4 separate regions of the Mus musculus genome follow, and all the other regions are reported to be linked to region 4. The links are microRNA targets in miRTarBase. Many come from high-throughput screens and were not tested one by one. Region 4 holds a microRNA gene; each other region holds the end of a gene's coding sequence.

Region 1 (7,912 bases), not on the chromosome of region 4:
CACAGACATTCGCACACAGGCACACACTCAGAGTCTACTTTTGAACCAAATCCCTAAGAAGACCCCAGTCTTAGACAAGGTGGAATCCCCCCGAGCACTTATTAATTCAGCTGTAGGGATAAGGTTGGGCCATTGCTAGGCCAACCACTCAGGGAAATTGCAAGCTGCCAGTGGTCACCGCACCACCACCAATAAGCTTTGGCTGCAGCAGAGACACCATCAAGAGGCCTTGTGTGCCTCAGTTTCCGTCCCTCCGCACTGAATCATCATGTCACAAGCCATTCCATCCAATTACCTGCCCTCATAGTCACGGGCACTGAGGCCCACAGAGGACAGAGAGCATGGCAGAGCCCACAGGTATTACACAGAAAGCCAACTCTCAACTGACTACCTGACATTCACACACATACATTATCTCCTGCCTACTGACAAGCCTTCCAGCAGAACCAGGAGCCAGCTCCTCCCAAGAGGCATGAGACACTCAAGTTTTCAAGAAAGCAGATTCAAGTTCAAACTCGGATTGCTAAACTTCCAGGCAATGTGACCTGGAAAAGTCTAAGCCTTCTGGAATCATCATCCCAGTACTTCGTGTTACAAACTAAAGGTTAGCCCGAAGCGCTGGACATGGGTGTGCCCACGTATGGAAAAGCAGACTCAATAGCTAGGGCCGGAGGCGTCAGACATGGTGGTGCAAGCCGGTTACCCTAGGACTTAGAAGGTGGAGGCAGAAAGAGCAATGTAGTGAGTTCAAAGCCAGCCTAGTCTACAAATTCAGACATCCAGGCTAGCCATGGCTACATATCTAAACCCTAGCAAAGAAAGAAGTGGGGAAATGGAGGAAAAGCCAAGTCCAAAACCTGCAAAGTGGGGAGGGAAGGGGATGGGCAGAGGAGGAGGGACCCCTGCCAGACCAGCCCCACAGCCTGTGCTTTCTCTCTTCTCCCCGGATCTCTACAGGCTATGGTCATGCGGCGCCCAGCACGGACGGAGGCAAGGTGTTCTGCATGTTCTACGCGCTGCTGGGCATCCCGCTCACACTAGTCATGTTCCAGAGCCTGGGTGAACGCATCAACACCTTCGTGAGGTACCTGCTGCACCGTGCCAAGAGGGGGCTGGGCATGCGGCACGCCGAGGTGTCCATGGCCAACATGGTGCTCATCGGTTTCGTGTCGTGCATCAGCACGCTGTGCATCGGCGCAGCTGCCTTCTCCTACTACGAGCGCTGGACTTTCTTCCAGGCCTATTACTACTGCTTCATCACCCTCACCACCATCGGCTTCGGCGACTATGTGGCGCTGCAGAAGGACCAGGCGCTGCAGACGCAGCCGCAGTATGTGGCCTTCAGCTTCGTGTACATCCTCACGGGCCTCACGGTCATCGGCGCCTTCCTCAACCTCGTGGTGCTGCGATTCATGACCATGAACGCCGAGGACGAGAAGCGTGATGCGGAGCACCGCGCCCTGCTCACGCACAACGGCCAGGCTGTCGGCCTGGGTGGCCTGAGCTGCCTGAGCGGTAGCCTGGGCGACGGCGTGCGTCCCCGCGACCCAGTCACATGCGCTGCGGCCGCGGGAGGCGTGGGCGTGGGCGTCGGTGGCAGCGGCTTCCGCAACGTCTATGCCGAGGTGCTGCACTTCCAGTCCATGTGCTCGTGCCTCTGGTACAAGAGCCGCGAGAAGCTGCAGTACTCCATCCCCATGATCATCCCGCGGGACCTCTCCACGTCCGACACCTGCGTGGAGCACAGCCACTCGTCGCCGGGAGGCGGCGGCCGCTACAGCGACACGCCCTCACACCCCTGCCTGTGCAGCGGGACGCAGCGCTCGGCCATCAGCTCGGTGTCCACGGGCCTGCACAGCCTGGCTGCCTTCCGCGGCCTCATGAAGCGCAGGAGCTCGGTGTGAACCACAGCCAGACCTGGAGCACCTGTGAGCCAGAGGGGTAGGGGACCTGCCTGCAGAAGCCGCAGGAGTTGGCCAGAAGGCCCCCCAAAGACGCCTTCGGGCCCCATGGGAAGTCCCCAGCCCATCACCACCACCACCACCTCTACTCTTCCCCAGCCCCTAAATCTCCAACTGTGCAGGCTATCACTAGCCAGCAGGAGGCGGGGCTCTGAGGACCCCTGGAGCCCCCATCGGAGCCGAAGAATTCCGAGAAATGTGAAACTTAGGGGGTGGGGAGCCCGGAAAGCAGCCACGGGGAGCTGCTGAGAAGCCCCCAGTCCTCAGAGGCCCTACGGGGGCCCCAGACCCCTCACCTCCGGAGGGAACTAATGTTCTCGGGTTTTGTTTTCTGTTTTCTGTTTTGGTTTGGTTCTCTCTCTCTCTCTCTCTCTCTCTCTCTCTCTCTCTCTCTCCCTCCCTCCCTCCCTCCTTCTCTCTCTCTCTTCTACTTACACCTCCTCTGGGTTCTCCAAAGCCCAAGGTGTTTTTGTCCAGGTCACCCCCACTCAGTCCCACCTGGCTTTCATCCCCAGCCATGTCTCCCAGCCTTCCACTACCTTACGTGTCCACTCCCTTCTGTTTTTTGCATGGCTATGCAGTTATGGAAGAAAAAAAAAAAAAAGGAAACCCCAGCAGCCCCTAAAGCTAGTCCCCAGAGGGCAAGATAAAAAAGAAAGAAAGAAAAAAAAAAAAAAGAAGAAGAAAAAAAAAGGGCAGGCCACAGATGTTAGAGCAGAGTGTGTGCAGAAACTGTGGCTTCCACCTCTGCGGGGTGGACATCTGTAGGTGAGCCACCTGGAGTCTGGGAACATTCTCAGGGGCTCCTGAGAGACTCCAGCCTTCAGGACTGCCCTTGGAATCTAAAACATGGACTCCCCTTTGCTGTCCCTGGCTGCAGCTGCTCATTCACTCGTCCATAGGTTGTTTTTTTTTGTTTGTTTGTTTTTTTGTTTTTTGTTTTTTTGTCCCAGAAACCCTGTGCCACCTCCGTATTCATTTGAGTGTAATAACACTCTAGTTAAGTCACCTGGGCAGTTCTTATGGCCATTTTTCAGAAGAGGAAAACAGGTAAAAAAAAAAAAATTTTTTTTTTTACTTGCCCGGGGTGTCTTGAAGGGGAACAGCCTGCCGGCTTGTTCCCAGCCCAAGTGCTCTTTCTTCAGGCTCAGCCTGCCCTCAGAAGCGAAGCCCCTGCAGGCAACACCCCAGCTTTGTGTAGGCAGCTGGGGTTTAAACCAGAATCAAAAGCCCCAGCCTGAGCCACTGCCAGGGCTCTGCCTCTGGTACTCTTTAGCCCAGAGACTGAGGCTCTAAATGGACCCTTGTCTCTGTTCACAAGCAGGGAAGTCCTTGGGACCAAGGTAAGAAGGACTGAGTCTCATGGACTACAAGCCAGCAGTTGGCACTCTTGAGAGTTCAGGGACTGGGCAGAGCAGCCCAGACAGCTGACAGGTATATCCTGGGACGTTTTCCCTGGCCTAGAAGCCAGGATAAATGCATCCTAAGTTGCTAGAGTAACTTCCACTGCAGCCAGGAACACCCCTCTGGAGGGAAGGAGGTATTGGGCCTGCTATGCCTTCTACCTCCTCTACCTGCAACCCAGTGGAGGGTGGCTTGCTACTGGGGACAAGCTGGAGGTGGAAACCAGGACAACAGAAGGGTATGTGTGGGGCTATGGGTATAGCCCCAAGTTTTATTCCCAGTACCATGAAAAGGGAAACCTTTCCCCTGCAGAGCTGCCTTCTGCTCACTGTTCCCAGGCCTAGCTCCATACTGCTGAGTAAGGCCAATGTGACCATTTGGGGAGGTAGAGAGAGAGCCCCACCATGTCCTCCAGGTCCTGGGAAATCCTTAGGTGGAAGGAATCTGGCCTGTGTGTATCCCATGTCCGTGTGGAGGAGCTGGCCCCTGTGTCAAGGGGGAATGGAACCCAGCAGCTGGAGAGGTGCTGTCTGTGTTTATGTTGGGCTGGAGGCAGTGCTGGCTGCCTCTGTCCTGTGTGTGACCCTGCCCTCGAGGGGTCAAGTCCCGTCAGATCCGAGGGAGCCACAACCAAAGTTACAGAGAGGGTGGGGAAGGCAGCAGAGTGGCCCTAGGGTCTAAGCATGGGGGACTGCTGGTCTCCTGTAGGGTCTTTGCCTAGGGAACTAGAAGGCCACTGTCACTTCCTGTCTCACCCCCTCCCATGCAGGCAGCCTTTCTGCTTCCCCAATGCCTTATGCCTGGGCACACTGCCACAGAATATGCAATATGTGTGGGTGACATCCCCACACCCACCCGGGCAGCCCCTAAGTCCCCAGGCTGTGGCTGCCCTGGCCCCCTTTTCAGCAGCTCCTGCCCATCTGTCTTCACACTGAGAATGGCGCCTAATAAATGCTGTCCATGGAGACCAGGCTCTGGTTCCCGCTCCTCTGTCATTAGTCATTCACCCTGTCACCCTGTCACCCTGTCCCACCACTCACCTAGTGCGTTCCCCTGGGGCTTCTCAGACTGCTTTGGGTGCAGGTTTCTTGTGTAGAAACCTGGGAGTGAAGCCTGGCTTCACTTAGGATTTTCTCAAAAGATCCAGAGCTCAGAAGATTCCGTCTTCCTGGAACAGACTGTGAGAACAGGACCTTAGAAATGACTGGGCCCTTTCCTCCCTCTGTACACAAGTAAACGAGGCCAACGAGGGCAAGTAACTTGCCCTGAGTCACACAGCCATGAATGGCAACCTAGGTAGGATAAGAAGCAAAGCTGGTGACTCCCCACTTTGTCTCCTCAGCTGACTGCAGAGTCAAACAGGACATGCCCCAGCCTCCAGGGGTGACCTCAGCTCCTCCCTGACCCCAGTAGCCTGATGGACACAACACACACACACACACTAATATCACTTTCAAAGATGGGCACATCACAAATACCTTTTCTTAGGGTGTGCTACTCATGGTCTAGAGTAGCACATGCTTGGGGATGGACCCTAGAGCCCAAGACAGATATATAGAAAGCAGATGCACTGTGCCCAGTTGGTACCAACACCTGACTCAACTAGCCAAGGGTATCCAGGCTTCCCTAAGCATGAACCATAGTAATACCTTTGGCACCAAAATCTGTCTGCACGCCATGACTCACAACCACCCTACCACATTCAGGGTGTGCATATCCGTTCTATTCCTTGTTTTAAATGCCACCTGGGACCTATTTGGTTGATTCCCTTTACTCACAGATAAAGACATGCTAGAGAAACAAGGACCTGGGCTAGAGACACATTCCCTTAATCTTTCCTTCTATCTACTTAGACCAACTAGAGAGATAGGACATATTTGTGGAGAGGTTCTGGGTTCAAAGAAAACCTGTGCCCTTTCCAGGACACACCAGCCTCCCTGGGATGAATCTCTAGGCATCCCTTGAAGTAACAGCAGGCAGGTTCTATGGCATGTTTCTTGGTAATCTACTGGCCTCTGTTTGGGCACAGTAAAAACCTGGCTCATCCACTCCTAAGACTACTTCGTCTTAATCAAAGCCCAAAGGTTTGCTGCTCAGCTCTATGAGATACAGCGTCAGCAGAGGTGAGTCCTTCTGGAGGTCAGTGGTGTCCAGCACATGGTCACTTGGACTTTCCTAAGCAGTGCTTTGCGGGACACAAACATGGCTCTTGCCCTACTTTCAACATCGCCCTGGACAAAGTATCACAAACAGATGTTGCAGGGATTCCTAGAGGGGGCCTGCACCCCAGTCCCACCCAGAGCTACCCAGAGCTCAGCACTAACACAGGATCTTCGTGTCCAGACACTGTCAGTGCCCCCCCCACATGCCCCCAACCTCCTCACCTCTGAGGCTGCCTGAACTGAAAGACACAGGAAAATGGACGTTGAAAGCCTGCAGAGGAGAGGGAACGGGAGCAAATGTCTGAAGTTCCCACCAGCACTGGGATTTGGGTGAGAGTCAATGGGAATAAGCTTCCTGGGAGCCAAGAGAAAAGAGGGATGCAATGGCAGCTCCTCTCTAAGCAAGCCAGTGGCCGCTCATAGGGGAGGTGCTAAGTTGGGCTTGGTGACTCATGCCTGCAATCTCCAATTCAGAAGGCTAAGGCAGGGAGATTGGCATGAGTTTGAGGCCAGCCTGCATATAGCCTGTCTCAAAACACCAAGAAGGAAGAGAAGGGTAGTCCTTGCTCTAATGAATTTGGAAGAAGGATGCACACATCACCACTGTCTGAACTCCACAAAACTCTAAGCTTAGTAAAAGTTTTTAGAAGACCTGCAGCGAAACCACTGCTCGTTTTGAGTAACACTCAAACTCATTCCATACCAGATCCTCTGTTGGCCTGATACTTCCCAGACTTCCCAGGGCACACTTGGGGACCTCCTCGGCTGTCACAATATCACTGATAGGGAAGTAGGTCTTATCCTTCCCTCTTATCCCCAACTAGGGTCTGTGGATGTAGCTCAGTTGGTAGAGTACTTGCCTAGCATGCACAAAGCCAATGCTTGATCTCTAGCACTGCCTAAAGGCGTCACATGCCTATAATCCCAGCACTTGGGAGATAAAGGTAGAAGGATCAGAAGTTCAAGGTCATCCTGGGCTACATAGCAAGTTCAAGGTCATCCTGGGTTACATAAAGTTCTCAATAAATGAATGAATTAATAAACAAACAGGTAAATATAAACTTTAATAATTGGTAAGTCATCTGTAACTGGCAGCTCTAACAACATGAAATACACACTAGCAAAGCTCATTATGTACCAAAAAAAAAAAAGGTTCAGAGCAGCCAGCCCACTGGTCTAACAGCAGGCAGGGAGTTGATAGCAAAGCTGAACATGGAACCAGGGCTAATGTTGGTGGATGAAGCTCGTGCCCTCACTCATCATATTGCTCACTGCCTGGCAGTGGTCACTGTCATTAGAAAAGGTCTGGCCATTGAAGAGTATGAGACCAAGGCTCCCTCTCCTCCACAGCCTAACAAGCCCAGCCTTGGGTGGACTCAGTGTCCCCCTGTGGCTGAAGCAACTGCCCTCCAGCTTCTCCCCCCACCCTTGCCAAAGGACATCGAGAAATAGACGTATGTGAAGCAGGTGCCCAGATCGGAGGACCAGCGCCCACCTTTCAGAGAAAAGGAACTGGATTCACAGAAAAGAAATGATAGATCCAAGCTCATGAAACAAGATACTGGCACAGCCAGGGTTAGTAGCCACAGAACCTGGCTTGTCAACATGTACACACCCAATTCACACACACACACACACACACACACACACACACACACACACACACACACATACATATTCAGACACACAGACTCTCATGCACATACACACAAGAGTGTGTAATTCACACACACATATTCAGACACATAGACTCACATGCACACATGCACACAAGAGCATGCACAAGCTCAGAACCCTGGCCCCTCTGCTCTGACTTTGGAGGAAAGTTCTAATCCTGGAGTTGAGTCACTTTTATGCTGGAAATTTACATCACATCTGGACAAACTAGAAGACTCACATCCCCTTGTCTCCCAGCTGCATAGAGGACTCATAGATGGGATTCTGATGGTACTGGTCTCTTTGATCCCCTCTAGTCAGTGATGCACACACCTGGAGAGTCTACATCAACAGCATTTGACCACAAGGACAACACTGTAAGTTAGGCAAGAATTGACACCCTCATCAGAAAGATAAAGGTCTTGCCTTGTGACCAAGGTCACAGAACTCAGTATCAGAGGCACTGAGCAGAGCCTAAAGTGTCTCCTTAGTGGCTGCTGTGCTGGGCCAGAACAGCAGTCAGGTCCTAAGGGATCTGAGACAGCCAGTGCCCTGTTGTTTACAGCTTTCTGGTGGCTGGACAAGGTCCCAAGCTTAAGGAGGATCCAGGTGGACACAGTTCCAAGAATTCATTGGCAAATAGGGACAGAGTGTAAGGGACTCTTCACGTACTTCACCCTGTCCGTGAAATGTCCAGCCAACAATCTCTGCCCTCAGCAGGAGGGAACA
Region 2 (7,912 bases), not on the chromosome of region 4:
AGCAAGAGCTGATTTTCCCCCGAAGCAGGCACAAGGTGCACACCTGTAATCCCAGCCCCGGGTGGGAAGGTGAAGGCAGAAGGATCAGAAGTTTTAGGTCAGCCTTGGAATATAGTTTGAGATTAATCGAAGCTATATGAGACCCCATCTCAAAATTATTATTAAACCTCGATTCATATTCTTTAAAACAGAGTTAGGTCTAGAGTTATTTTATACTTAGCTTTTGTCTTTACCTGTGTGTATATGTGTAGTCACACACATGTGAATACAGGTTCCTGGAGAGTGGAGGGGAGGGTGTCACACCCCTTGGAGCCAGTCACTATGATCTGGGTTTGGGGACCTGCAGAACTTGAGTTCTGCTGCTTGCCAGAGAAGTACATATTTTAACCTCTCAGGCCCATTTTATATTTTGTTTTGTTTGAGATGGAGGTCTCTCTACATAGCTCTGGCTGTCCTAGAACTCACTATGTAGACCAGGTTACCTCTGCCTCCTGGGTGCTGATATTAAAACATGTACATGATCATGGCCAGCCCCAGTTAATATTTCTTTAAGCCGCACTTATATTTCTTTAAGATAGTAAGACTGGGGGCTGGAGAGTTGAGAACACTGTTCCCTCTTCCAGAGGACCTGACTTCAGCTCCAAGCACCCAATTCAGTCTGGTTATGATCATACATAACTCTTAGTTCCAGGAGATCTGACACCTCTAGCCTCCACAGGCTTCTGCACTCACATGCACAAATCCACATGCACGCACGCACGCACACGTGCGTGCGCACACACAATGAATTTTAAAAAGACTATAAAAGATAGAACCACATCACATTGTGTATTACATCTTATAAACAATTTAAAAATATTTTTATTTTTTATTTTATGTGCATTGGTGTTTTGCCTCCATGTATGTCTGTGTGAGGGTGTCGGGTCACTGGGAACTAGAGTTACAGTTGCCAGCTGCCATGTAGGTGCAGGAATTGAACCTGGGTCCTCTGGGAGAACAGCCAGTGCTCTTAATCGCTGAGCCATCTCTCCAGCCCCCTAGACAATACTCTAATAAACTCATCATTTGTTGAACAGGGTCTCACACATCAGTCTAGCCTCAATCCTGCTATGAAGCTCAGATTGACCTTGAACTTCTGATCTTCAAGCTGCTACCCCCACCCCCAAGTTCGGGGAATTACTTGGGTTAGGCAGTGCTGGGGATAGAACTCAGGGCTTCATACACACTAAGCAAGCATTCAGCTAACAGAACCACACCCACATCCCTAGCGTTCTTTTTTACATTAACAGAGCAGCATGGGAATCTCCAGGTATCCTTGGGATACCTGACAAAGACAGGCACAGTCTGTGTGGACATTGCCGCCCATACTCCACAGACTCCGCACAGAATTATCAATCCTCACTCATTCTGTTTCATCTGGTTTTCTTGGAGATTGAACCTCAGGCCTTGTACATACTGGACAAATTTCATACCACTGAGCTATAGCCTCAGGCCTTCACAATTCCAACTCAAGGTACACATATAATGCAGGTCAATGAGACCGTTTAGTAGAAAAAAAGGTGCTTGCTGCCACAACCCAAGTTCAAGTCCCAGAGAATCAACTCCCCAAATTATTCTCTGACTTCCATGTATGTCATAGCATGTAAATGTATGCAATCACAGGTGCACACCCAAGTGCACGAACACACACACACACACACACAGGTTACAATTTGACTCTCAAATGTCTCCCACAGTTTTGTTTTTTGTTTTTATTTCCCCCAGCTCATAGGGCTATTTTGAAGCATGTGGAACCTTTAGGAGGTGGAACCTGATTGGCACAAGTAGGTCACTAGAAACAGTCATTTTAACATTATGCCTGCCCACCCACTCCCTGCCAGGCTTAGTTAGCCAAGTGTTTCCTGTCTGCCACCATGTTTTGTTAAGGTGTCGCCTTAAGGTATTGGAATGAAATCATGCTGTAACACAAACCCGTAAGTTATTCTTCACCTGTTTTATCACAGCAGTGCAAAAACAACCATCACAATAAAACTTGAATCTGTCCTGAGCCAATAGGATGATGGATAATTTAGGGATTTGATAAAATAAGGAAAAAAATATATAATGTGTTCCAGACTAGCCAAGGCTACACAGTGAGACCCTGTCTCAGAAAAGTCATATCCTTGCCAATACTTGATATTGTCAACCATCCAGATTTCGGCCATTCTAATAGACACATAACTATGTCACTATGATTTTAATTCCTAGTGCCTGTTAATGTACTAGCAACTTCTCACACTATATCTGTCATTTGCATATCTTTAAAAATTTGTAGCCAGGTATGGTGGTGCACGCCTTTAATCCCAGCACTCAGGAGACAGAGGCAGGCGGATTTCTGAGTTCGAGACCAGCCTGGTGTACAAAGTGAGTTCCAGGACAGCCAGGGCTGCACAGACAAACCCTGTCTCAAAAAAAAAAAAAAAAAAAAAATGTGGCTGGAGAGATGGCTCAGCAGTTGAGAGCACTTAGTGCTTTTGCCAAGACCCTTAGTGACATTTCTGGCACCCACATGTTGGCTGACAACCATCTGTAATACAACAGAGATGCAAGTGGCACACAAAAACGCATGAAGGCAAAACACTCATACAAATAAATATAAGATCTAAAAGAGAAAACTTAAGCTAGGTCGTGGTGGCGCATGCCTTTAATCCCAGCACTTGGGAGGCAGAGGCAGGCAGAGATCTCTGTAAGTTTGAGGTCACCCTGGTCTGCAGAGTGAGGTTCAGGACAGAAAAAGCTACACAAAGAAACCCTGTTTCAAAAGACCAAAAAATAAAAAATTCAAAACTGTGATTGTGTGTGCATGAAGCACGAACTTGCAGAATTTGGTTCTCTCGTTCCATCCTGTGGGTTCCAAAACTGGCAACCCTGACAGCTTCCATGTATCTTTTTTGATGAAGCATCTGTTCAAATATTACTTTTAAAGTTGGGTTGAGGGACTGGAGAGATGGCTGAGTGGTTAAGAAACACTGTTCCAGATGACCGAGGTTCAATTTCCAGCACCCATACGGCGGCTCACAACCCTTTGTAAGAGAGGAGTTCTAAGGTATCCGACAACCTTTATGGGGTCTCTGTGGGCACCAGGCATGCAAGTAGTAAGCTGACACACAAAGCAGCAAGGCACCAATAAACAGGAAATCACTTCTCTGTAGTTGAGTTGCTTGTTTTACGATTCCTTTATTATGCATCTGTGTGTCACTGTTGGTTTGAGTCTATACATGTAAATGCAGTGCCCTTAGAGGCCAGTAGAGTGCACAGGATCCCCTGGAAATGGAGTGACAGCTTCGAGTTACCTGAAAGGGTGCTGGGAACTGAACTCAGGTCCTAGCAGCAGGAGTTCTTAACCTCTGAGCCATCTCAGCCCCTGCTTGCTTTCGAATATTTGAAGTCCTTTATATAGTCTGATAACTCTTTTTTCATACCTGGTAACATATGTTTTATAGAATCATCATATATATGACAGATATTTCATCTATAATTGTTCACTAATCGTTATGTAAATGTTTTTAACTTTGATAAAATCCAATTGTTATTATTACTATTATTTATTTGGAACACTAGAGATCAAATTATGTAAAGCACTGGGGAGGCAGAGGCAAGTGGATCTTAGAGTTCAAGGCTAGGACTGCACAGGGAGACCCTATCTCAAAAGAGAGGTGGGGAGGGGGGAGGGAGGGAGAAAGGGAGAGAGAGAGAGAGAGATCTATAGCATTTCACAGCAGTCTACAAAGACCACAAGCCATCTGACAGAGGGCCACTACAGTGACCCAGAGTGACTTTGATATTTCATCTATCTAATGTCTTTACATGGGGCTAGAGAGATGGCTCAGTGCTTTGGAGCACTGGCTGTTCTTCTAGGAAACTCATGACCATCTATAACTCCAGTCCCAGGGGATCCAATTCCCTCTCCTGACCTCTGCAGGCACGGCACTGCATACACACCTGGTGCATAGACATTTAAGCAGGCAAAACACCCATACATACAAAACAAAAAGGGGAACGTTGTCTTTGTAAGAATGCAGAGAAATACACTACATAATTATTTGTTAGCCGCAAAAATAACCACGGGACTTTGGGAAACAATGGCTGCTTTTAGACGAGAGCTGGAAGAAAAATGTTAATTTTTTACCAACTTAATATTTTGGGGATTAAACATCAATTTAATGTAGCATTTTATATTTAGCTATGTATGTCCCATGAGATGAAAAGTCACCAATTTGGTAAGGTGCTTCATTGGCAAACAGCTTTGGAAGACCAAAAGACCTACCAAAGGGAAAGAGAGGAGCGTCCTGCCTCCCCAGGCCTTCAGTTGCCCATGTCAGTGAAAGGCATGTCTATCTCCTCTGTAGCCCTCAGCCTGTCGCTCATTTGCAACGTGCGCTTCAGAGAGAAACATGTGCATGTCCAGGACCGTTGCCAGGTATGTATTTAAAGTGGGAAGGAGCAGAGATGGGTTTATCCTGGAAGCTTTACTGCTTCTGGGTTGGCGCATCACAGTACGGCACATTTTCTGTGAGAAGATCTTTCCTGGGGACCAGTTCTAAAAGGAACAGAGAAATGAGCGGTTAAGACGGTTAGAGCTCCAGTCACTACTTATCTTAAAGTAGACCTGGGGCCGGCACATCCGTCTCCCCAGCAGTTCTAACCGTGAGTTGTGTAATTTGGGAAGCATGCACTATTCTACAGACATTTTATTTCAGCTGATGTCTGAGGTGACTATGTGAGTCTAAATGGAAACATTTAATACGATCTTCATTCGTGTTACAAAAAACATATACAACCAAATCCTTTATCATTTCATTAAACACAACTAATAAATGACTGAATGGAATTAAGCTAAAAACACACTAATCTGTCAATGGCTCTTTAAAAATGTCACCTATGAATGATTTTTGAGACAGGATCTCATGTAGCTCTGGCTAGCCTTGAACTCCCCATGTAGCTGAGGCTAACCTTGAACTCTTGATTCTCTAGCCTCCACTTCCCAACAATGGGGTTACAGGTGTACCACACCATGCCTGGATACTTGAAAAATTTTATAGAAAGCAAGACATCACTCTCATAATTCAGACATTCCAAATTTATAGAATGATTCCCCTCCCCTCCCACAACTGCCCTTCTCCTTCCCTCCCTTCCTTCTTGTTCCTGGGCCTTGGGAACCCAGGGCCTCACAGGCTGCAGAGTGTATACTCTACCACTGAGCTACACCCTGTCCCCTAGAACAATGGCTCCTCACCGAAGGAGTCTTCAGATATACCACTTAGGGGATGCTACCAAAAATTTACTGGGCAGGAGCCAAGGATGCTAACTGTGGTGTGAAAGACAGTCTGGGGCAGAGAGGGTTATACTTCATGGCAGAGTGACAGCAGTGTCTCCACTGAGACACACAGTGACAGTGGTGTCCCCACTGAGACACACTGCTGAACAGCCAACTGCTGACTGCTAGGCAAGACAGCGTTGGGGCCTCAGAGATTACTCATCGGTTAAAGTGCTTACTACAGGAAGAGTTCAGATCCCCTAGGAAGATGAGCCTTGTCAGGGAACTGAGTGCCGAACCAAGAAACCCTGCTTCAATGAAACAAAAAAGAAGGCGGGCAATTCCCACTATTAGGTTCAGGGGTGCACATGCACCCATACACACAGAAAAATGGAAAAGGAAAAAAAAAGAGAGAAAGAGAAAACTGCCCACATCTGCTGACGTGTGCCTATAATCCCAGGAATCATGGGCAAAGGCAGTGAGACCTGCACTCAAGTCCAGCCTGCAGTACATAGCGTGGCCATGGCTGGTCTGCACTGTGGTGAGACCCTGTCTTAAAGGCCCTGGGTCTAATACTCAATACTGAAAAACAATTAAAAAGAAAAAAGGCAGTGAGATACATCACCCACCCCCCTTTCTTGGGAAGAGCAGGACCCAGCTAGGCCATCCTCACAGCCTCAATGTGATGGCTCACATTTGTAATCTTAACAGTTTGCAGGATAAGACAAGAGGATCGCCGTCACTGTGAACAGAGTTTGAGCTATACAATGAGTTCCAGACAAGCCTAGTTAAACCTGTCTCAACAAAAGCAGGGTTGGAGATGTGCCTGGATTAGTAAAGTGCCTGCCTCCATGCACAAGGCCCTGTGCTCACTCAGCCCAGCTGCTGTGGTGGGACATACTTCTAATCCTGGCACTCAGGGTAGAGAAAAGAGAATCAGAAGTCAGCTACCCAGGGAGTTTAAGCCAGCCTGGGCTATATGAAATTCTGTGTCAAACAAGAGAGCAAATGCCCCCCTAACCACTCTTCCCAGAGCCTGCCTACAATCTTTAGAGGTAGTGATGAAAGATAAGTAACTGCTCCAGACTCAGGAAACTCAGCAGCACCCTGGACCACAGGGGAAAGGGGTTCCTCCTACTAGAAAGGGCATTGTTAACTGGGTAGTGGTGGGTGTGCCTTTAGTCCTAGCACTCGGGAGGCAGAGGCAGGCAAATCTCTGAGAGGCCAGCCTGGTCTACAGGGTGAGTTTCAGAACAGCCAGAGTTATACAGAGAAATCCTGTCTCAAAAAACAAATAAACAAAACCAAAACAAAACACCAAAGAAACAAACAAAAAAACAAAGGGCCTTATTAGGAGGAAAGAAAAAATTTAAACAATGGTATTCCATGAATCCCCTAGTTTTGATAATTAAACTATAGTTAAGGACTGTCCTTCATATTCAAGGAATGTGCATTCAGGGGACAGGGCATGATGGCTCACACCTTTATTTCCAATGCTCAGAAGACAGACAGAGGGAGGTAGATCTTTCAGAGTTTGAGGCTAGCCTGGTCTACATATCAAGTTCCAGGACAGCCAGAGCTATAGAATGAAACTCTGTCTCAGAGAAAAACAAAACAAAACAAAACAAAACCCAAAAAAACAAAAAACAAAGCCGGGCAGTGGTGCTGTATGCCTTTAGTCTCAGCGCTTGGGAGGCAGATGGATCTCTGTGAGTTCAGGGCCAGTCTGGTCTATAAGGCAAATCCAGATCAGCCAGAGCTACATAATAGAGAGCCCTGTCTCAAAAATAAACAAAAATTTTAAAAAAAAGTTTCTTTGGCTTCAAGGGGTTCATTATCTATTGGGAAAGACAAACCACAGCCACTCTATAGCATAAGGATTCACAAATGGTTTTTATAGTGAAAATACAAGAATCTGAGCTATTACACTGAAGAATAAATTACTAAACCTATCAATATTACTTTAGACTATGCCTAGTTTTGAATAACCAGAAGTCCACCAAACAGTGGTTTAACAAAAGAAGTTACAGTTGGGGGGCTGGTGAGATGGCTCAGTGGGTAAGAGCACCCGACTGCTCTTCCGAAGGTCCAAAGTTCAAATCCCAGCAACCACATGGTGGCTCACAACCACCCGTTGTGAGATCTGATGCCCTCTTCTAGAGTGTCTGAAGACAGCTACAGTGTATTTACATATAATAAATAAATAAATAAATCTTAAAAAAAAAAAAAAAAAGAAGTTACAGTTGGGGGCTGGTGAGATGGCTCAGCGGTTAAGAGCACTGACTGCTCTTCCGGAGGTCCTGAGTTCAAATCCCAGCAACCACATGGTGGCTCACAACCACCCGTAATGAGATCTGAAGACAGCTACAGTGTACTTACATATAATAAATAAATAAATCTTAAAAAAAAAAAAAAGAATAAGAAGCTACAGTTCAAGGCCAGCCTGGTCTACAGAGTGAGTTCCAAGACAGCCAGGGCTACACAGAGAAACCCTGCCTCAGAAAACAAACAAACAAAAAAAATTTTTTTTAAAGGGGGGTGGGAGACTTATTTTTCTTCCCTTTTGAAACATGGCAGGTCTGAGCTAGTAGACGTCCTGGTGCTGCTGAGAACCCA
Region 3 (7,912 bases), not on the chromosome of region 4:
TACCACTGCTCATGAAATAAAAATAAATTAAAAAAAATTTTTTACTTAAAAAAATTTAAATATGTGATAATTTAAAAAAAAATTTTTTTTCAGGTTAGAGTATAATCACCGAGTTCCCTCTGTGCAACCACCCAACTTCTAGGAAAGAGAGAGCAAGGAGAGAGAGACTGGACTTTTGATCGAAGACTCAATGGAATGGGGGCAGTGTGTGGGTCCACATGATTTCTCAAGTCTTCCTTCTGCACAGTCGTTAGACTAACGCCCAGGTTTGTGCTATGAGTGAGCCAGCCCTGTGCAGGCGGCTGCACTGATTGTTCTCGTGAGTGTTTATACAAAATAATCATCTCATCTTCATTTAGTTTATAAACATGCACAGTGCTGCCCCTTTTAAATTGAGGAGAGAAAAGAAAGAAAGACAGAAAAACCACACAAATACTGCAAAGTAGAAAAATACAAAGAAAAAAAAAGCTACTTTCGGTTTTGGCAACATTAAAAAGGATGAGACATAGAGCAGAGGTGGCCCTGGCCCGGTCATCAGGTGTGTGAGTAGGACGCTGGGTGGGTGGGTGGGGAATCGGGAGTCGGGGAGGGGCGGGGGAGGGGCTTGGTCTCTAAAATTCAGAATATCTGGCATTTCAAATGTAGGAAAGCTCAGCAAGTCAGCAGACCTGCCAAACATCAAAGCTCCCTGAGGAAAAGCTCAGCTTTCAGGTCTGGGAGAGTTCTTACTGGAATGTGACCTATCACTGCCTGACAGATCTGACATGGAATGTCTCCAAATGGCAGTGTCTCCCTCTCTGCCCTCCCTGGCTGGGAGTGCGCCCAGGAGGAGCAGCCACCTTCCGTGGAGGTGGGCGAGCCTCGGGCAGCCATCTTCGCCAGCTGCTGCTCCAACTTGGAAATGCACTCGTCTTGACTGCAGGTTGTTTCCTTTATGGATTTGATCTCTTTCAGAATCTCATCCACCTTGGCTTCGTTTTGCACACTGGCCATGTCTGTGGGCTTCTTGGGGGCACAGTTGAGATTGCTCTTCTTGTTTGCAGCCAGCTTGCCGTCCAGAATGTTCTTCTTGACCACCTTGAAATCCCCGTTCTTGCCTGGAATGTACCCGTGCTTCAACGATATGAGGATGGGGTCTGTCTGCATTCTTCCCCCTCAAACCACTCCTCGGCCTCAAGGGCAACTTCCGGCCCCGCTGTGTCAGGGTACAGGTCGTCTTGGAAGAGGTCAGACTTCCTGGGGACCGTCATGATAATGGGCTCGTACTATCTCTCATGAAGCTTGAAGAATCTGGCAATCTCACACTTGTTGACGTCAAGGCCCCGCTTGGGCATGTAGCCCATCCCTCACTGAGGCTCCTTGCCGCTGAATGTGTGGAGGTAGTGGACATATGGGAATTCATCCGCGGACACTGCTGTCACCCTTCCCACATAAGTAGATGATGCTGGTGTCTGGGTCGTAGAAGGAGAGCAGCACTCCATTGCTAGTGTCCATTTCATGGAGAGCATTGGTTTCTGCATGTTTTTTTGGGTTCCAGAGCGTCAACTGCCGCTCGCTCATGCGGCTAAAGCCAGTAGTGAATACGTTGCCGTCCGCCAGGAAGATGGCACGCATAGGCCTGGCTCCTTCGTGTGCTTTCTCCTTCTCCACCGCCATCTCCTGTTTCCTGGGGTCAATGACTCTCATTTTCTTGTCTTTGGATGCTGTGCAGATGAGACTACCGTTACAGCTCCAGCTCTCGTTGTAAATCATGTCTGAATGCATATCATCCAAGTTGATGAGGGCTTCCCCTGTCCCCACGTTCCAGATGATAATGACATTATCACAGCCTGCACTGAGAAGCACAATGTGGGCCGTCGGGTGCCAGGCCACGATGCCAACTCTTTTTGAGTGGCCTTCTAGAATCACCACAGGCTCAGTCAGGGAAAGGGTCAGTCCATTTTCTGGGATCTGCCAAACCATAACAATGCAGGCCTCTGAGCCGCTGGCGATAACCTGATCGTTATGTGGACACCAGTCTATGTCCAGCACTGGTCCTGTGTGGCCACACACTGTAGGGTAGGATTTGTCAATTTGTCCCGTCTTGTGCAGAGGGAGCATCAGGAAGGCCCCTCCCCTACTTGCTTCTATGATGATGGCCACGAATCTGGGGTTGATGGCGCAAAAGGAACTGTCCCAGGTGACTCGGGAGACGCGGATGTCATCATAGCACTGATCATTCTTCACCGCCTGTCCAAAGACATGCCGGAACTTGCTCTGCCGCACCACTCGCCGCATCGTGTCAGAGCCCGGGTGCCTGAGGCGCCACCGAAGTCCCTGCTGCAAAGCCCCGAGAAGCCTCCATCCATCCGCTGCCGCCTCCCGCCTGGCACTGAGTGCCGCGCGGGGGAGGGGCGCGGCAACCGCTGCCCAGTCCTTCGCGCAAGCGTGCAGGCCCTGCCCCCCTCAAATCTTTGAATTGGGTCAACAGACACTAACATTATCCAAATGTAATGGTTCTGAAATAAAACACTGTAAGATCAATCCACAGTTGCTATCTAAGTTTTGCTGTTACATATTTAAAATAGCTGTAAAGTTACTGGTCTATGGTGATAATTTATCTGACTTTTTTTTTTTTTTTTTGAGGCAGGCTCTAACTATGTAGGTTGGTCTCATAGTGCTAGGATTTAGGTGTGTGCTACAATGCCCAGCCGAGGGCATCGGGATGAGGGAGAAGAATTCAACCACTGGGCTTCCTGTTAGAGGACCAGTGGTGTTGAGCAGTGCCCAAAATGTTACTATTGATGTTCTGGGATGGAATCAGTTAAAGCAACAGTGTGGGCAGGGGAGGAGATGTTTCGGGAGTGAAGATGCTTGCCACAGAGCCTGATGATGTGAGTTAAGTACCCTAGACCCAGATGGTAGCAGACGAGAACAGGCGTGTCACTCAAGCTGTCCTCTGACCTCGACACATGATGGCATGTGTACATGCACACAGGCACATGTGTGAACATACATACAATAAATAATAAATGTATGTAATAATTTAAAAAGAAACACAGGCTTTAATGGGATGGCATGGCAGCTAGGCCTTCACCTTGGGCTCCTGATGTCAGCATTCGTATCCTTTGGAAGACACTTTCAGTCATACTTCAGTGAGTGTCTCTATTAAAACCATAGGGGCTGAGTGTGGTGTGTGCCTTCAATCTCAGTGCTACAGAGGCAGAAGGCAGAGGAAGCAGGAGGCAGAGGAGGCAGGAGAGGCAGAAGGCAGGCGGATCTCTTGAATTTTCAAGGGCAGCCTGGTCTACAAGTGAGTCCAGGACAGCCAGGGCTACACAGAGAAACCCTGTCTATAAATAAATAAATAAATAAAAAATAAAATAAATCTTTGTAGAGCTAGCTGTAACTCAGTTGGTAGAACACTTACTTAGCATGTATGACGCCCTGGGTTCTACCTACCTCCAGCACCACAGAACCCTTGGTGTTGTGGTACTTGACTTTAATTCTGCACTTGGGAGATGGATGCAGGAGGATCAGAAGTGAAGGTCAGGCTTAGCTTCAGAGCATGTTCAAGGTCGGTCCAAGATGTACAAGACCTTGTCCCCAAACAGCCTCTTTGTATAAAAGGATATCATTTTGTTGACACAACATTAGTTCTTATCTAAAGCAAACTCTCACCTCTCAAAAGCATCCCCAGAAAACATTTTCATGCTGCCCCAGAGGTGTAAGTTATTTGGTATAATTCCAACATCCCTGAACTCAAAGATTTTTGTGCTTGCTTAAAAAAAAATAGAGAGGATCAGCATTTCACCCCAAATATTCTCCACTCCTCCCCTCAATTACAGCACTGAGGAGCCCTTACATTGTCAAGGCTGTGCTTCCATTCAAGACACGTTTCCAGCACTCTAAAAGGACGAAGACTGTTTATTAAGTACAGTGTTTGAATCACATTTCAAATTACACAGAGAAAAGCCTCCATCACAAAGTGCTTCAGGCGTCAGAGATTTACCACACCAAACAAAATCACTTCTGCCATCAATGTGCTGGGGCAAGATCTAATTAACACGAGTCTCATATGCCCATGACGCTAGCAGGCAGTGGCTCTGCAGATTTTTCTCAAATTATCACTGCGGGATAGTTCCCAGTGCCCATAGAGGAAGAAGAAAGAGGGGGAGAGAGGGAGAGAAAGAGAGGGAGAGAGAGAGAACACACTAGTCCAGCTTAGCCTCAAAATTACTAGGTAGCTAAGCTGCAGATTGCATTGAACTTCCTGCCTCCACTTCTCAGGATTTGGAGTTCTGGCACACACTATCATCCTGGCAGCCTTTGCCTTATAAGGAAAGAGCTCAACTTTGTTTCTTGTTCAAATCTTGGAACTGGTAATAAGCTATCTACTCTACCTTTGGGGGAGCTCACAGCTGAAGGTGATGGACAACTTCCCTTTTCTCCTAAAATCCCCATGAAGACCCCTTTCTTGTCTTTGTGCACTTTACCAGTTACCCACTTGTAAGGAGAACATACATACATAAGACACAGCTCACAGTTTTTGTTGTTGTTGACGACATCTAACATCATATCTAAGAGCAAGTGGTTTGGAGCCAGAACTGAATTCAACTGTCCCAGTGAATACAACTCTAAAGAAACCATACTGAATGCTCTGGGTCTGTCTTCTCATCTCCCAAGTGGACGGATAATAGGAATTAACATCGCTGTGTGTTAAGAAGCAAACAGGCTAAGATCTGCAAATTTCTTAACACGGGAACAGGCATTCACCGAATGACAAATTTAATTATTAGTCTTTTAAAACTGCCTTAGTAACTGCTTTTGCCATTCAGTTACCATTACTTCTGTCTGGATGGATGGGTGAGACCAATTCACTCCCAATGACACCAAGATTTCTGACTCCTGGCTTCAGGATCCCCATCACCCTCCGTTGCCCTCCATCACTTTAAAGACTTTTATAGAATGGGATGCAGTATCCAGCACAAGAAGAGAATTCTCCTTGGTGAAGGCCAGTGCCACAGGACGGGAGAGGCCGTGAGTGATTATAGGCTTCAGGGCTGGGAATTCTTCGGGTTTCCCCAAGCAGACGATGGCTGGACCAGAGGTGTCAGCAACAATCACGTTTCCTTGGTGATCGAAGGTCACAGCAGAGGCAGTTACTTTGGAGGGGAAGAGGAGGTTCAGCCCGAAGCTATCCACCTGGCCAATCAGCTGCATAGTGGAGTTGAACACCTTCACCCTTGTGTTGTTACAGCCAGTCCTCCCAAAGGCACAAGGATGCTCTAGGACCGCGATGGCCCCCGTGAGCCATGACACTGCCAACCCACGGGGACTGCATAGGTGAGCTTGCAACCTCTCAATCCTCCGAAGGACCCCTTCAGGGAAATCCGCTTCCAGCAGGTGCAAAGTCCCTGCCTCTGCATCAGTCACCAGGACCCCATTGTGAGGGGTGATCTCCACACCCCAAGGCAGGGAAAACTGCTTTCCCACAACCAGCTTGATCTGGCCAAAGAAATCAAACACTTTGAGGGAGCAGTCGCCAGCGTCGGTGACAACCACATGGCAGTCGTTGGTGACGGCGACATCCAGTGGGTACTTCACGTCGTGCGCTGCGTCCCCCTTTTCTCCAAACTGGTGTGCACCTCCTCCTCCGGAGTCAAAGATCTTGACCCGTCTCTTCCCGTCGTGCACGACCACTACCCGTCCGGTCTTGGGGCACAGTGCAAGCCCTGTGGGGTTCACTAGGGTCCCCCACCCGCCGAAGGCGTGGTAGCAGGTGAGAGTCCCCGGCGCGAAGGGGGCGGCGCTGAGGGCAGCCGGGGACGCGTGGAGGGTGGAGCCCAGGAGCTCCAGGAGGTGCAGCACCGGCAGGCAATCGCTGGTGTCACAGGCTCGGCAGGCCCGCCGGCAGAAGGGACACTCGAGGCCCAGCGTCCGCGGGTGCGCGAGAGCGGCGACACAGGCCAAGCAGACCACGTGGCCGCAGGGCAGGTTGCGCGGGCGCCGCTGCTGCCAGTGGCCGAACCTCTCGAAGCACACCTTGCACTCCAGCAGGCTGACCTCCGCCTCCCGCACCAGCTCGGGCCGCACCCCAGCCGCTGCCACCGCCGTCGCCTCCTCCCCCATTGCTCCCGCTGCTCCGCTGCCTCCGCGCAGCCCTCAGTCACGGCCACGGTCACGGTCACGGAGCGGGGCATGCGCTCTGACGCAGGGCGCACACTGCCACCCCCTGGCGGACGCACGACGCAGTCGTCCGCATGCGCCGTGCGCAGACCTGGGATAATCACGTCACGGGTGGAAGATTCCAGGATTAAAGATTGAGACATGTCAGCGGGTGTGGGGGCGGGGTGTGATGAGTGGGTCTCTCCGTGTCCTCCTGTAAGTGACAGCTAGTCTCTCAGGGATGGTGCCCAAACGGACTGCCAGTCAGCTTCGCTGGGAGGTGGGTACCAGGGCTAGACAGGAACAAGACATGGCTCCTAGTCTCTGTATAGTAAGATTCTGAAGACAGAGACACAAGAAAGAAGATAACTTCAAGGGGCAGATGTGCATTCCTCTCTGCTGTGTTTTTTCCTTCTTGTGAGAAGGTAGCTACGTAGACGTCAAAGAATTGGGTGTGATAGTTGTGATGCCGGGACTCAGGCGGCAGAAACAGGAGAACAGCTGTTGGTGGTTAGTTGGAGGCCAGCCTAGGCTACAGTGCCTAAAAAAACAAACCCCCAAACCAAAACAAACAAAAGAATACTTGTGAAGTGGGTTTGTGTGGAAGGGATATTTTGAAAGCTGTTAGCTTTCTCGCATGGTGGTCTACATAGTGAGTTCCAGGCCAGTTAGAGGCACAAAGGGAGACCCCGTCTCAAAAACAAACAAAACAACAACAACAAAACTTGTTAGTTAGTAGCAGTTATAGAATTCGCTCGTGCCTGCCTTCTTTTAAGTGGTTTTCATTCACTTTTATTTAAGCCTCATGGAGGCCGTGATTGGAAGGCAGGCAGTTTGACTACACGGCATCTCACTGATCATCAGATATGGTTTTGTATGACAAATGTTTGAGTCTCCTTGGCAAAGGCTTAACTGCACCAGTGTGGGCTGAGGGGCACTGTGAAGGGGATTATAACGTACAGGTAAGTTCGAGCCAGCGGTTCCTCCCTGCAATGCCTTCCATCCCGAGAAAGATTGAAAGTAAAGGGGCTGAAGCGATGGCTCAGTGGTAAAGAGTGCTTGCTGCCCTTCTGGAGGACATGAGTTCAGTTCTCCGCACCATCTGTAACCCCAGCTCCAGGGAATCCAGAGTCCCCTTCTGGTCTCCATGCATTTGCAAACGTGTGAGATACATTCACATAAACATATACACCTGCAAATAAATAAGTATAGGAAATATTTCAAAACTGGAGAAATGATTGACAATAAAGATGATCGTGGAAGTATCCTAATCTTATGGTCAGTATAATCTTCCGAAATCCATTGGGGGTATTCAAAGCTCTCATTTTCGGAGTTAACTGTCTTACATGAACAAGGTGCTGGCCAAAACCATGTATTAGAACATTCTTATTCACAAAAAGGCTGTGATCATGATTGGTTACCCTCTTGTTCCATAGACTTCCAAGAAACTGGAGGACTCAAGCCTGTGTTAACACTCTTCGAGAGAGAAATTCTTTGGAAGGCCAAGGAAAACAAGCAGTTTTTTTTTTTCTTTTTTAATCAACTACTACATATCTCAGAGATTGAATGTTAGACCAGAATAACCAAGCTGATACTATGATTTCAAAATGCATTTCCATTCTAAATAAGACACCAACTAAAATAATATCTCATAGAAAGTTTTTTTATTAGTAATTTAAAAAAACTGTTTTTTATTAGTGTGTGTGCACGAGGCTGTCTGTGTGTCTGTGTGGACGTCTGTGTGAACCTCTGGAGGCCAGAAGAG
Region 4 (7,912 bases):
ATCATAAACCCTATGCTTAGAAACTACCAACCCCACAAAATAAATAAATATGACTCTAGTAATTCCTAATCTGTGCATGGAATTTCTATAATATGTCCATCATGTATCGATGCACACAGGTTCACACTGTTGAATGACAAATGGACAACTATATGTGGTCCCCCTAGCAACCAGTGGTATTCAAATGGTCATTACTGACTACACTATACACTGTTTCAACACTGTCTTAAAACACTCAAACCAAGACAAGGATAATCCTGCAACTCACACTGGTCTTGTTCGTCTCCTCAAGCTGGTGCAAATAGAGTGCTTGACCATTGGAGGGTCCTCTAATTAGATGGTCCACCTTGAGTACAGAGAGAATAAAAGGGGAGGGGAGGGGAGGAGAAGGGAAGGGGAGGGGAGGAGAAGGGAAGGGGAGGGGAGGGGAGGGGAGGGGAGGGGAGGGGAGGAGAGGAGAGGAGAGGAGAGGAGAGGAGAGGAGAGGAGAGGAGAGGAGAGGAGAGGAGAGGAGAGGAGAGGAGAGGAGAATGAACTACTTAGAGAGCACTACAACTGTCCCAGGATCTACACGGATGAATAAACATGTCAGTACACAAGAGCATCAACTTTCAGGAAAGCATACAAACAAAATTTTGCTTTAAAAAAGTTTTCTTGCTTTCTCTTTGATTATTTTTTTTGTCATCTGAGCCACTCGTGCAAGCTATCATAACTTAAAAATATTCATACTATTGTCTTCTAAAAATGAAAGTCTTCAAACTTCTTGCAAAGCAATGAAATAGTATCTGTTACTGATACCATTTCCTCCACAGACAGAAAGAGTTGAATGCTACTTACTCGCTTCTCTTTGGATTTCATATTTTCAGTGTAATAAGGTAATTTTTTTTGCCTTGATACTCATGTTCATTAGTGAATAGACTTTCATTCATTTCTCTTCATTGTTTTCTATATTTATTTACTATTCAAGAAATTAAAATAGTAGTATGTTTTTGGTGAAACCAGAGGGAAGATCTGCTGAAGGAGAGACCCAGAGGCAGGCACATGCACAGCACCCTGGACTCATACTACCTGCGCTCAACATGAATCCACCCTGGCTCTATTCACTTTTATGTTTAGATTGAATCATTAATTCACTAATAAAAATGAAAAGTCTATTTATTCCTCCCAGTACTGAAACACACTGAAAGACACTCCTCTAAAGATCCAGTTTACCTCCAAGTGTCTCTCTCCTTCAATGAGGAGCCGAAGAGCATCAAACATAGCCAACTCATTGTCCTATTTCAACTAAAATCCATAGGCATCACTGGTTGTATTTGGCTGAATTAATACAACCATAGTTAAAACTTATTTTCAATGAATATATTCACTTGTGTTTATGAACATGCATGCCAAGGGCATGTGCATGGAGACAAGGGCTTAATATCTAGGAATCTGTTCTCTCTCTCTCTACCTTACCAGCTCTCTTAGATATTTTTAAATAATGAAGTAACCAAATTTCAACAGACTGCATAAAAAGCAGGGATAGTAAGTAACTAGTACTCACACTGCCCCATGTTCAATGCAGAGGTGCAAATGTTCCACTGCTGATCATAGAAAATGCAGACATCAGCCTAGGAGCACACATTCTGAGGAGTACAAAACAGAGCACAAAAGAAAAAAAAAATGCCATTGTCCTTCAAGGACCTTTGATTATCTACCTATCTTTTGGGTTGGACCTCTGAGCTTCAGACAAGTGTTATTCGTCATCTCTCTCATACCTTGGTAACTATCATCATTGGTCCAGAAATGGCTTGACCTTTCCTCGTTCTCATAGATACTATTTACTGGCTAAGCCAATAATTCACTAGCAATGCTGGTGATACACAAATATTCAACAGGAGCACAGCTCTCTGATATATTCAGACTGTAGTATTCACAGCGCTATGAAGAAAGTGCTATGAACCATCTTCAGACATCGTATTTACTCAGGACACAAGCCCATCTTCACCCCAAAAGACAAAGTAAGAGTAGACCTGTAGGATTCTATTTCATGCTTTGTAAAGTTACAGCCATAATAACCAAAACATCGACAAAATGTATGGCTTTTACCCATGTTTACCTTGAGGCAGTCATTAAACATAGGAAATCCTGCAGTCAGCTCTCAGAGGCGCGATGTGGGGAACAACAAACAAAACAAAACAAAGCATTTGTTAAATGACTTTTAAAAGCAGATAAAAGAGCAACAGCTTTCAGCTTTGACTTACAGAGCCATATATCTAACTCATGACTAAATAATATGAATGATTCCTTATGTACTCCAGAACGTAAACTTCGGCTATAGGATGTAATGTTTGCATTATCATTAATAAAAGAATAAAGAGTAAGGAGTTGCTCCACACAGACCCGACTCAGGACAGGGTGGTAGGGACTTATAACTAATGTGGTGGTCAACCATATTATTTTCCTTCCACCTTTTCCCAGGGGCAGCTGTGTTGACTCATATGAAGTTTCTGTTTTAATGTTTGAGGGTCACTCACTACTCATAGAATGTATGCTGTAAAAGATTAGTGAGTGGCACACGACCCTGGACACGTGACAGACTTTCTCAATGTCATTATCATGGACAATCCAAGCCAAGTACAGTAATATGTGATTGTGGCTTCAAGTTTAGAAGAACCTAACAATTATAAATATGAATCACAATATGGAAACAAACTCTAATATGCATAGGTTGTGATATGCTAAAAATGATTTTAACATATATAACATAAATTTTCTGAGGAAAAAATGGAGACTATAAGGTTAATACGAAATAGAAAAGAAATTGAAAACCTCTGTGGCAGCTGGACTGTGCTTGGTTTCAATTTTGAAGTTAAAAGCTATTGCTGTATGATTGATCTTACACATGCCACGTGCACAAGAACTATGTGATATGACCATGGGGTTTTACCATGATCTGCCCGAAATGTGAAACTAAAGTGAATACCAGTTGTAGTGGTGCTGAAGGGACATCAGAGGAACTCTCTATGACAGGAAACTTTTGCAATGACATCAGTCAATCAGCCTCTGTGGAAAATGAGAAAGACCTGTTAGTAAGCCATTAAAAAAAAAAAAAAGACAATTCACAGGACACACAAGCAGAGATTCACTCTATGAAACTGGGTGTACTGCCCCCTTTTAATGAACTTAATGAATCTTATCAATGATAGTTCACTTGACTGATTTGATAACGAATACCTGTCAAGACCTAGAACCAGACTCCATAGGAGAGAGAGATGCTGATTTGTGACATGCAGACTTGGGGTGGTGGTTCACCATCACCAGGTCAGCCTTTCTGAGGAAAACAGGGGAGAAAAGGGACAGAGAGTGTTGAGACTGTGGGTCACCATGCCATGTTCTCCACGGTGACGTCACTCAGGCTGATGGGCTTTGCCTGAGCTGTACCTGTACATTTTCTTCCCAGAAAAGACTAATTTCTTTCCACTTGAAGGAAAAAAGAGCTGGGTCCCCTCTATGCTCTGGCATGCTGCTTAGGGTCAGCATCTCAGTACACCTATTTCTCAACATGCCCTTTGTGAGGTCCCCATGCAAGGTTGTGGTTCTGCACAATTTAAACCAACTTCGACTACCTGTCAGCCATGTTTCCTTGCTAATGGAACTTACAATGGAGGGCAGTTCAGCTCAAGTGGCTCTGTACCTGACTTCAGATTTCTCTTGACATGGATGCCATCAAGAAAAATTCAGATGCCACCAGATCTCATCATTGTTCTGGGTTCCCCTCTCTCAGAATTGACTCATTCTTGGTAAGTGTGGCATCACACTGTGTGATCCACAAGCTAGCACTAAGTTAACACTTTCTACCCATATCTGCTTGATCACCGATGCTTTGATTAAATCTCCATACCTATAAGCAGGTGCGCACAGAAGGAACAGAGCTGGAGTTGACAAGTCACCATGGGCTGTGGACTGTTGCCATGGCATCCCAGGAATTGTCCATTATCCATAACTCTACCATCACTAGAGTCACCTTCCTGGAGGGAAGAAGGCAGAAAAAGGAAAGGAAAATTGAGACGCTGTCCCTACATTGTCCCAAAATTGCTGCATTTCAAGCATGCTATCTTGTAGGCTTTCTCTCAAAAAAAAAAAAAAAAAAAAAGTGGGTGTGGCCTTAAGGCTCCTCTGACGAAATTCCATGGGAATATTTCAAGCTACATGATCAAAGAGCAATCAAGCCCTCACCTCACACCACAGGTCCACAAGGGACGGGCATAGACCTATGGGCCTCCATCCAGAGCTTAGCTCTTAGCAAGGCATCAGATTTCTGGATACTTGGCGTTCATGGAGTATCACTCAAACGCCACCAGATCTCATCATCGGTCCTGGATGGGGCTCCCTCTCTCCCTAGCCAACTGCACACCTTAATTGCTTAGTGGGTGCTGAGGGCAGAGCTCTGATCACAGGGTACTAGAACATTCTGTGTGGCAGCCCCTGAAGAGCAGCCATTAGAAAAACCCAGAAATCAGGACTAACTATTGCACTAATGCGCTAACTCTCTCCTGGTACTGCTGTAAGGAAGACACAGTTTCCTGCCACTAAACGTACCTGCAAGCTGGTGGGCAAGGAAGATCAAGATGTTGCCTCTTGGTCGGCAAAGCTCTGAGATGTCACAGTGGTGATACAAGGGTGGTTCTATATCTCAGCATGCTGGTACCATCTGTTGGGTCGCCATTTCTGCAGGGTACAGGGCAGAGAGGAGAGAGTCAGTGTTGAGACTCTGTGGGCCACCACCCCATGTCCTCCCCATTTACGGAGCCAATGGTCATGAGCTGGGCCTACTTTGCACTGAAACTTTTTTCCCAGGAGAGACTAATTTCTCACCAGGGGCCAGAAAAAAGGATTGGACCAAGAAGAGGCTAAGGAGTCCTCCATGGGGTCAGCCTATCATCTCCCCAATCTATCAACATGCCTCTTAGATCTCCCAAGCCATGCTGCTCCCCACCAAGCCCTAGGTCATGGTCCTACCAACTATAACCCGACGTTGCTTCTCTGGAAGTCCTTGCCTAATGGAAACTGATCAGTTTAAGGAGCAAAGGTGACACAAATGATCCCGCTTTCCTCGATCTCAGGCTATTAGTTAGCACCACAAGGCACACAGCTGAAGTTGCTCTGTGCCTGACCTCAGACATCTGTTCTCATGGCTGTCATCGAGATACAGTCAGATGCCACCAGATCTCATCATAGGTCCTGGGTTGGGCTCCTCTCTCTTGAGGCTTCAGGAATGGCTCATTCCTTGGCTACTGTGGTACACTCAAGAGACCACACTGTAGGAGGCTATCCTGTGCTGTGGGGGGGCTTGACACTGCCTGGTCCGCAAGCTAGCATGAAATTAACACTTTCTCTCCATAGTCTGCCTGACACCCATTTTATGAAGAGACCCTCCATACCTGTAAGTCAGTGCCACACAGGAGGATCACAGCTGGAGTTGACATGTCACCATGTACTCTGGATTGTTGGCAAAGCACCCAGAAACTGTCCATCACAGCAAACTTCTCATATCACTTGGGTCAGCTCTCTGGATGTTGGAAGGTAGAGAAAAAATAGAACTATTGAGACATGCTCCCAAGTTTGACCCAGGATTCCTACATTTCAAGGGCACTGTCTTGTCAGCTTTATCTCTAAGGGAGTGGTTGTGGAATTCCAGCTCATCCAAGTAGATTTTCAGGGCCCCTCTGACCCAGTTCCATGGACAGACCTCAAGCTGCCCCAGCCTTGATTCTGAGGAACATGATCAAAGAGCACTCAAGCCCTTGCCTCGAAGCACAGGTCCACAAGGGACGGGCGTAGACCTATGGGCCTCCATCCAGAGCTTAGCTCTTAGCAAGGCATCGGGATTGACCTCAGATTTCTGGATACTTGGCGTTCATGGAGTATCACTCAAACGCCACCAGATCTCATCATTGGTCCTGGATGGGGCCCCCTCTCTCCCTAGCCAACTGCACACCTTAATTGCTTAGTGGGTGCTGAGGGCAGAGCTCTGATCACAGGGTATTAGAACATTCTGTGTGGCAGCCCCTGAAGAGCAGCCACTAGAAGCCAAAAATTACAACCAACTATTGTACTAATGGCCTAAGAGTCTTCTGCTACTGCACTAAGGCAGAAACACTCTCACCACTACACATACCTACAAGCTCATACCTTAAGTGAGGAAGATCAAAATGCCGCCTCTCAGTCAGCAGGGCTCAGGCTGTCACGGTGAAGACCGAAGTGGGTTCTGGTTCAGAGTACACTTGTGCCATCAGTTAAGTCAGCTTTTCTGAAGAGAACAGGGGAGAGAAAGGAGAGATATCTTTGAGACTCTGTGGGATACCATTCCGTGCCCTCCACAGTTACAGAACCTAGGCTCATAAGTTTTGCCTAGGCTATAATTGTATTTTCTCTTCCCAAGAGAGAGTAATTTCTTGCCATTTCCCAAGAAAAATAAGCTGGCCTCTGTCTATACTAAGTCATCATTCATGGAGCCAGAAAATTATCGGCCATCGCTCCACATACCCCATGGAGTATTTAAGCTGTGCTGCTCTGCCTGTAGGCACAGGCATGGGGGCACCCCTTCTGCTCCAAGTTTGCCTATCTGCCAGCCACGTTTCCTGGCCTAATGGAAATAAGTTGCAGTCAGAGCAGTGTTGAAAAGTATGTTGTGTGTCTTAGGCCATGGGCAAACACCAAAAGGCAGCCCAGTTGTAGATGTTCTTTGCCTGACCTCAGATATCTGTTCATGTCATCGAGAAACACTCAGACACCATCAGATCTCATCATCGGTCCTGAGCTAGGCTCCTCTCTTGAGGCTTCAGGAATGGCTCAGTCCTTGGCTACTGGGTACACTCGGAAGACTACATGGTAGGAGACTATCCTGTGCTGGGGCACCTCACTGCCTAGTCCTTGAGCTAACTAGATTATTTCTTTTTCGACATACTCTGCCTAAGCACCCAGATTTTGGTGTTTAGAATAGATTCTCTGTACCTATCAGCAGGTTCCAACCGAAGGATCAAAGCCGAAGATGTCAAGTCACCATGAGCTCTGAATTGTTGCTATGGCATCCCAGGAACTGTCCGTCACTGCAAACCTTTGAGATCACTTGGGTCTTCTCCATGGATGGTAGAAGGCAGAGAAAGAAGTAAAAATCTAAAGACTTGCTCTCAAGATTGTCCCACGATTCCTACATTTGAAAGGAAAACCTGGCTTTCTCTCTAAGGGCGTGGGGTTACGTTCCCTCCAATACAAGGAGATTATCAAGTCATCTAGGATACCCCATTCCAGCCAGACGTTCTGCACTAACTTTATTTTGAGGAGTATTACTATCAAGTGACTTCTCTAGCATTTGCTACCATTCTTATTTACCTTTGGAACCTCATTTTAGCCACCTAACTTCAATTCAAACAACTCAATTTCCTGTGATAACTTTATGTAAACACATGTCCATGAACCAAAGATTCACAAACTATAGCCTGTATGTGTTGGGCTGTATCTATAACTTGTCAGTAAAGTACTCAATGTCCTTGACCTCCAATATCTGTTTATCTCATATTCACAAATCAGTACTTAAATGATATAATATAATTGCTTCATCTCGTTCTTTTCTGTGTCAGCCACATCCAGTCTTTAATTATTCATATGGTGAACTCAGAGATCACCAATGTTAAAATGTATGTTAATTACCCTCCAATTTCCATATATATTTGATGATATATATTTGATGAATCATAGATTCCATGTCTTCAATATTATAAGGATTTGCTTTGACAATCATGACTTACAACATGAACTACTTCAACCTAACCAAGACTCATGTGGACCTTGTTTCCCTGGGAGGATCCATCCCTCATTTAGATACTCCTTTATTGTTTTATTGATATTCAGAGAATTAAAATATGAAATA

The links. Region 4 holds the annotated microRNA mmu-miR-882 (AGGAGAGAGUUAGCGCAUUAGU, at 4,516-4,537, opposite strand). A microRNA usually pairs through its seed, bases 2 to 8, with sites in the 3' UTR of a target mRNA and lowers its output. Matches are read on the target gene's strand: a 7mer-m8 pairs with bases 2 to 8, a 7mer-A1 pairs with bases 2 to 7 and ends in A, and an 8mer does both.
Region 1: the mRNA of Kcnk3 is a reported target of mmu-miR-882. Seed matches in the 3' UTR shown: 7mer-m8 at 2,351-2,357.
Region 2: the mRNA of Lyrm7 is a reported target of mmu-miR-882. Seed matches in the 3' UTR shown: 7mer-m8 at 3,723-3,729, 8mer at 2,980-2,987 and 8mer at 2,476-2,483.
Region 3: miRTarBase lists Nhlrc1 as a target of mmu-miR-882. Seed matches in the 3' UTR shown: 7mer-m8 at 4,176-4,182, 7mer-m8 at 4,162-4,168 and 7mer-m8 at 4,154-4,160.

The regions. Positions count from the first base shown.
Region 1 is chr5:30,620,934-30,628,845 of GRCm38, forward strand. Kcnk3 (potassium channel, subfamily K, member 3) reads left to right here. Exons shown (of 2, transcript NM_010608.2): 2 at 958-4,337. The coding sequence ends at 1,904. Among named protein-coding and RNA genes, the nearest start is that of Mir5625, 23 kb to the right of the region's middle.
Region 2 is chr11:54,836,624-54,844,535 of GRCm38, forward strand. It overlaps Lyrm7 (LYR motif containing 7), which reads right to left. Exons shown (of 5, transcript NM_029327.5): 5 at 1,727-4,579. The coding sequence ends at 4,509. Among named protein-coding and RNA genes, the nearest start is that of Gm31490, 19 kb to the right of the region's middle.
Region 3 is chr13:47,008,669-47,016,580 of GRCm38, forward strand. It overlaps Nhlrc1 (NHL repeat containing 1), which reads right to left and starts at 6,182. Exons shown (of 1, transcript NM_175340.4): 1 at 3,889-6,182. The coding sequence starts at 6,111. The coding sequence ends at 4,906. It also overlaps the pseudogene Gm5790.
Region 4 is chr12:109,678,832-109,686,743 of GRCm38, reverse strand. It overlaps Mir882 (microRNA 882), which reads right to left and starts at 4,547; the gene lies at 4,471-4,547. AF357341 (a small nucleolar RNA gene) reads right to left here and starts at 5,225; the gene lies at 5,151-5,225. It overlaps Gm22981 (a small nucleolar RNA gene), which reads right to left and starts at 4,360; the gene lies at 4,287-4,360. Gm25856 (a small nucleolar RNA gene) reads right to left here and starts at 3,750; the gene lies at 3,676-3,750. It also overlaps AF357428, Gm23736 and Gm23787.